Danio rerio: one gene and its partner. The protein of the gene in region 2 interacts with the protein of the main gene of each other region in a biochemical or structural test. Links are inferred from orthologs where the notes say so. Each region holds a gene or a part of one and is shown on either strand. Other genes may lie near its edges.

The links. The genes of interacting proteins can lie anywhere in the genome.
Region 1: the proteins of btk (region 2) and ibtk form a complex in vitro, tested with the Homo sapiens proteins (2 studies listed by BioGRID). The link is inferred for Danio rerio from reciprocal best matches to the Homo sapiens genes BTK and IBTK.

What each region holds. Positions count from the first base shown.
Region 1 is NC_133191.1:5,078,796-5,082,454, reverse strand, and holds part of ibtk (inhibitor of Bruton tyrosine kinase), read right to left. Parts: intron 2,387-3,659; coding exon 1,751-2,386; intron 1-1,750. UniProt on the Homo sapiens protein: Acts as an inhibitor of BTK tyrosine kinase activity, thereby playing a role in B-cell development. Down-regulates BTK kinase activity, leading to interference with BTK-mediated calcium mobilization and NF-kappa-B-driven transcription.
Region 2 is NC_133189.1:43,499,579-43,503,237, forward strand, and holds part of btk (tyrosine-protein kinase BTK), read right to left. Parts: coding exon 3,652-3,659; intron 1,108-3,651; coding exon 1,025-1,107; intron 552-1,024; coding exon 424-551; intron 1-423. UniProt on the Homo sapiens protein: Non-receptor tyrosine kinase indispensable for B lymphocyte development, differentiation and signaling. Binding of antigen to the B-cell antigen receptor (BCR) triggers signaling that ultimately leads to B-cell activation.

The sequences.
Region 1 (3,659 bases), on a different chromosome or scaffold from region 2:
AGGAAAAATTGATGAAAATATTAGTGCTCTGCAAAAACAATTTTGTTTAGACATAACTTAAGTGTGTGTACTGTGTGTATTGATTATGAATGTATAAATTCACACAGGCATGCATGTACAGTGCATCCGGAAAGAATTCATAGCGCTTCCCTTTTTCCATGTTTTATGTTGCAGCCTTATTCCAAAATTGATTAAATTCATTAAAAATTCGATACAAAATCCCCCATAATGACAATGTGAAAATAGAGTTTTTGAAATTGTTTTAAATTTATTACAAATAAAAAACCTGAAAAATCAGATGTACATCAGTATTCACAGCCTTTTCTCAATACTTTGTTGATGCACCTTTGGCAGCGATTACAGCCTCAAGTCTTTCTGAATATGATGCCATAAGCTTGACACACCCGTCTATTTCTGCCCATTCCTCTTTGCAGTACCTCTAAAGCTCTATCAGGTTGAATGGGAAGTGACGGTGTACAGCCATTTTCAGATCTCTCCAGAGATGTTCAATAAGATTTGGGTCTGGGCTCTGGCTGGGCCACTCAAGGACATTCAACGAGTTGTTGTGAAGCCACTTCATTGATATATTGGTGGTGTGCTTTGGGTCATTGTCCTGCTGGAAGATGAACCGTCCCCCCAGTCTGAGTTCAAGAGGGCTCTGAAGCAGGTTTTCATTCAGGATGTCTCTGTACATTGCAGCATTCATTTTTCCCTCTATCCGGACTATTCTTCCAGTTCCTGCTGCTGAAAAACACCCCCATAGCATGATGCTGCCACCACCATGCCTCACTGTAGGGATGGTTTTAGCCTGGTGATTAGCGCTGCCTGGTTTTCTCCAAATGTAACATCTGGCATTCACTCCAAAGAGTTCAATTTTAGTCTCATCAGAGCAGAGAATTTAGTTTCTTATGGTCTGAGGATCCTTCAGATGCGTTTTGGCAATTTCCAGGCGGGGAGTGGCTTCCGTCTGGCCACTCAACCATACGAGCCTGATTGGTAGATTGCTGCACAGATGGTTATCCTTCTGTGAGGTCTCCCTCTCCAAAGAAGAACGCTGGAGCTCAACCAGAGTGATGATCGGGTTATTGATCACCTCCCCGACTAAGGCCCTTCTCCCCTGATCACTCAGCTTAGATGGGCGGCCAGCTCTAGGAAGAGTCCTGGTGGTTAAACATCTTCCACCTACGGATGATGGAGGCTGCTGTGCTCATTAGAACTTTCAGAGCAGCAGAAATGTTTCTGTAACCTTCCCCAGCCTTGTGCCTCGAGGTCTATTCCTTTGTCTTCATGCTTGGTTTGTGCTTTGACATGCACCGTCAACTCTGGGACCTTATATAGACAGGTGTATGCTTTTTCAAATCATGTCCAATCAACTAAATTTACCACAGGTGAACTCCAATTAAGCTGCTTTAACATCTCAAGAGTGGTCAGTGGGAACAGAATGTACCTGAGCTCAGTTTAGAGCTTCACGGTAAAGGCTGAGAATACTGATGTACATGTGATTTTTCAGGTTTTTTTATTTTTAATAAATTTGCAACAATTTCAAAAACTTTTTTTCACACTGTCATTATGGGGGATTGCATGTAGAATTGAGGAAAAAAATTATTTAATCCAATTTGCAATTAGGTTGTAAAATAAAAAAATTTGGAAAAATTGAAGCGTTATGAACACTTTCCGGATGCACTGTACATACATACGAAAAATGATTTTTAAAAAAAGATTATATATTAAATAAATAAAATATGTTTACCGTGCTGACAGACTCCCTAGGCCCAGTTTTTTGGCGACTCCCTGCAGCATCTTCACAGGGTTTTGTCCATTTTCAGCAACATTTTTTACTTTTTTCCCAGATTTGTTGTTTTTGCCTGCTGTTTTCGGCTTTTCTGCTTCCTTCCGCATCTGTACTGGAAGAGAGCGGTAGACATCTAGAGCGGAGCGTTTCTCCAGACCCAGAACCTGCAGACTGTGGATGAGCTGCTCTGACTCAGGCTCTAGCACTTCCTCAGGTTCCGGCTTGGAGCTCCGGTTGCAGCGAGGAATGATGGGACAGGCCCCATCCACCAGCATATCACAGGAGTCAGTATAGATGAAGTTCAGCGCCTGCTCCAGCAGCTCCGGGGGAATCTTCTCCAGCACCAACAGGTCACAGCCCACCGCGTCCTCTCCCCGCCTCACCTCTCCATCACCCTCTCTCTCGGCCTCTGGCAACAGGATTTTCCGGAAGAAGTCGGAGCGAACAGACAGAATGTATTTGTGAGCGGGGAAGGTGCGATCGCCAGCCTGAAGGGTGATGTCGTGGATGTTGTCAGTCTCATCAGCTTCGGCAAGTAGTCGCTGGAGGTGCTGGGAGAAGGAGGACGCAGAGATCGAGGGCACTTCATACAGGCTGTGAATGAAGAACAGATTAAGAATCAATTGGAGCACAAAAATGAGCTTTTTTTTCCCCTCCAATTTCTTTTTAACGGAGAGAAGATTGTTTTCAACATTTCTAAAGATATCATTAATGATTCAGTTCTAATAACTGATTTATTTTATCTTTGCCATGATGACAGTACATAATATTTGACTAGATATTTTTCAAGATACTAGTATTCAGATTAAAATTACATTAAAGGCTTAACTAGGTTAATTAGGCAGGTTAGATTTATTAGGCAAGTCATTGTGTAACAGTGGTTTGTTCTGTAGACTATCGAAAAAAATATTGCTTAAGGGAGCTAATAATATTGACTTTAAAATGGTTTATAAAAAATTAATAACTGTTTTTTTTCTTTCTGCATTCTATCTAATTTAATTTAAATTTAATTTTCATTTAAATTTATTTTGATTTAATTTAAATGTTTTATTTTATTTAATCTATGATAAATATATATATATATATATATATATATATATATATATATATATATATATATATATATATATTTAAAGATTTATTTCTATTTTATTTATTAAAATTTTATTCAATTTATATATTATTTTATTTCATTTTATGTATTTTATAAAATTATTTTTGTGCTGGGCAATGATTATTCATTATTAATCATAACCAAAATAAAAATTTGTTTATAGAAACAGAACTATACAAAATAATTTGTTACATAGATATTTAAATGTGTATATACAGTAGATTTTGTATTATATAAACATATATTTTATATCTACATACAAAAACTATTTTTTTAGATAATAATAACTAAATATAGCTTAATGGGGCTAATAATATTGACCTTAACTGTTTTTTTTTTATTAAAAACTGCTTTTATTGTAGCCGAAATAAAACAAATCAGACTTTCTCCAGAAGAAAAATACATATAGGAAATACTATGAGAAATTCCTTGCTCTGTTTGGACAAAATCTTGTAAATATTTAAAAGAGTGGAAAAAAATACCACAAGAGGGCCAATTTATTTTGATTTCAACTGTATATAAACACATTTTATTTCAAAGCAAACTTTTATTTTGGTTATGGTTAATCACAATTAATCATTGCCCAGCACTAAAAAATATATCAAAAATAAAAATAAAATAAATAATATATATAAATTACATTTAAAATAATAAAAATAATATTGAAATCCATTTTATTTTATTTTATTAGAGATTTAAAGGCTTAACTAGGTTATCTAGGCAGGTTAGGGTAATTAGGGAAGTCATTGTATA
Region 2 (3,659 bases):
TTTCTTAAAACTGAAAAAACCCTGCATTGTTAACAATCGATGATGGGAAACTGTTTTGCTGTTTACTGGCACAGAATGAACTACTCATCTACTGTTTTCTTCAGAAAACACACACAAGGGAAAACTCATTAGCATTTAGCATTCGGATGTGCTATGATTTGTTATTCATGCAGCTTCTTGATAACAGCATGCGTGTCGCAGTGGTCACACGGTGATTGATTGCGAAGTCATTTGCATATTTGGTACCCACCAAACGTCAAGATTTTATCTAGTCAAAATCTGACACAGTGACTGTAGCTAACAATAAAAATCATGCAGTCTGAACGGGGCTTTATGGACTGTCATTGTCAAGGCCTTACCTGCCTTGCCTATTGAAAAATGGCCCCTCTGAGTGATGCTACCCAAGACTGAGGTGATATTTACCTGCAGCATTGTGCTGATGGTAATTAATAAGCTCTGGGATATTGGTAAAGTTGTGCTTCTCCGCTAGATAGAACTGGCCGTCTGCAGTGAGCAGTATGTTGTAGTGTCTGCAGCTGCCAGAAGTCTCCCTGCAAGACCAGAAATGAAGTTCACACTTTACAGTAAGCTTATTAAATATATTTACTAACATGAACTATTAATGAACAACACCTGTAAAGCATATAAATTATAGTTAAACTCTTACTTATGCATTATTATAATCCATATTAAAGCTAATTAACATTAGTTAATGCACCGTGAGCTAACAGTGATCAACTTTATCTCCCATTAACTGACTTAACAAAGATGAATAAATACTGTTTGTGCATTATAAATGTATGGTCTTATTGTAAATTCATACCCACATGATCAACTCAGGTCACCGTTCATCTTACAAAGGGCAATTGAGAGAGCGACAATAACAATCTCGTGACAATTTACACAGCGTGACTTTTCCTACTTTGCATGGAGGGATTGATATCGCTGTTCCGGCTGGGTCAGTTTTCCACTTTCATTTCGATAAGTTAACAGTGAAACAAATGTGTAACTTGATCAAACTCACCCTCCAGCCTTGGTGAACACAGAAACAGTGTATTTTCCAGTGAATTTGCCAGAGTCTCTCACCAAGAAACCGCCATCTTTGTTCTATGTTAATTTTAGAAAAAAAAAGTTGCATAGTAAACAAACATATATGGTGAATTCAAGTTGGTTTCACACAATGGTTTAATAGGGTATATGCAGAAGTATACAGAAGGACTTTACATTTTTCAGTAACCTGGGTCAGATGTTTCCGGTGAACTGTATGCTGTTACAAAATTTGCGAGTTTAAGGTCTGTTTACTTTAAAAATCAACCATCTTCACTGCCTGATTGGTATACGATATAAAGTCGGTCTCAGATTGAGCAGGAAGCACTGCATTAAATTACATTTTCCCACGCCATGTCTTTAAAATATGAAAATGTATTTTACCTCAGTATATTTTAACAGACTTTCTGTGCTCGCCTGCTAATGCTGACCTGATCCTGATGGGCATGTGCGTGTAAACAGCTTTTCATCTCGTTTTAAGCTTGAATGCTGATGTCTATTTAACTAATTATACACTCAACGGCCACTTTATTAGGTACACATTTACCGGGTTGGACCCCTTTTTTGCCTTCAGAACTGCCTTAATACTTCGTGGCATAGATTCAACAAGGTACTGGAAATATTCCTCAGAGATGTTTGTCCATATTGAAATCTTTGTCAGCTGCACATCCATTATACAAATCTCTCTTTCCACCACATCCCAAAGGTGCCCTATTGGATTGAGCTCTGGTGACTGTGGAGGCCATTTGAGTACAGTGAACTCATTGTCATGTTCAAGAACCCAGTCTGAGATGATTGGTGCTTTATGACATGGCGTTTTATCCTGCTGGAAGTAGCCATCAGAAGATGGAGACACTCATGCTCATAAAGGGATAGGCATGGTCAGCAACAATACTCACACACCATGCTCAATTGGTACTAATAAACCCAAAGTGTGCCAAGAAAATCTACCCCAGACCATTACACCACCACCAGCAGCCTGAACCACTGATACAAGGCAGGATGGATCCATGCTTTCATGTTGTTGAGGCCAAATTCTGACCATCCGAATGTGGCAACAGAAATCGAGCCTCATCAGAGCAGGTGACATTTCTCAAATCTTCTATTGTTCAGTTTTGGTGAACCTGTGTGAATTGTAGCCTCAGTTTCCTGTTCTTAGCTGAAAGGAGTGGCTGCTGCTGTAGCCCATCCGCGTCAAGGTTTGACGTGTTGTGCGTTTAGAGATGCTCTTCTGTATACCTCGGTTGTAACAAGTGGTTATTTGAGTTACTGTTGTTACCTTTGTTGTTACCTTTCTATCAGCTCGAACCAGTCTGGCCATTCTCCTCTGATCTCTGGCATCAACAAGACATTTGTGCCCACAGAACTGTGCTCACTGGATATTTTCTTCTTTTTCAGACCATTCTCTGTAAACCCTAGAGATGGTTGTATGTGAAAATACCAGTAGATCAGCAGGTTCTGAAATACTCAGACCAGCCCATCTGGCACAAACAACTATGCCATGTTCAAAGTTACTTAAATCCCCTGTCTTCCCCATTCTGATGCTCGGTTTGAACTACAGCAGATCGTCTTGACCATGTCTACATGTCTAAATGCATTGAGTTGCTGCCATGTGATTGGCTGATTCAAAATGTGTGATAACAAGCAGTTGGACAGGTGTACCTAATAAAGTGGCTGGTGAGTGTATTTTATTTAGATTACAACATCGATTCTGTAATAGGGACCATATGAATTGAAAAAGGTCACATTAACTGTTCACCGGAAGAGTATCAAATCTAGCTGTGCATATACCCTATTTTGGTTTTTGGAAGAGGATGGAAGGGGATGGGGGACACACAAAATGCGGGATATTTTTTCAATTCAAATCTCATTTCCTGTATTAACATACATTTATGGAACATGGTGATAAAAAACCCAGGAAACAATTAGGCAGATTAAACAAGTTTAATTCAAAATTACATGTAAATAAATTATGAACTATTTTGTAATATCAATTACTAATATAATATATAAGATATGCAAAGCATATCTCAGCAGCAAACTTAATATGTAGGCAAATGATATGAAAATATTGATCATTATTAAATGTCTTTCATGCATAAACCCCCTTTATGATCATTTTCTGTGCAGCACAAACCATTAGACTAACATCAACAGGTGTATTCTGTAAAATATAATAATATGAAGGGTTCAGATGCAAAAACCTCTAAATGCCGTCTGAAATTTTGTTTTAGAGTGAGCGTTTTGATCAGGCTCCTGTGTGTGGGTTTAGTAGTATCACTTTTATGGCAAATAGTAATTCCTTTTTATGGTCTTTAAAGTGAAATATCTCAACATAAACAAAGGAGGCTGACAAAAATGCTCATTTTTGATGGACATTTCAGACGGCACTTATAGGTTTTTGCATCTAAACTCTTCATATGTTAATAATAATATTAAAACAAACTATATGATTGTCTAAGCCTAATACAGGGGGGATTTTGAAGTCTCCAGAAGAAATTACTCTCCTGGTTGTCCCACATTTAAATAATCATTACAATGTAAAAGTTACAGACACATTAATAAACCAATCATGTTATTGTGCCACCACGGCTCCATACTTACTTCTGTTT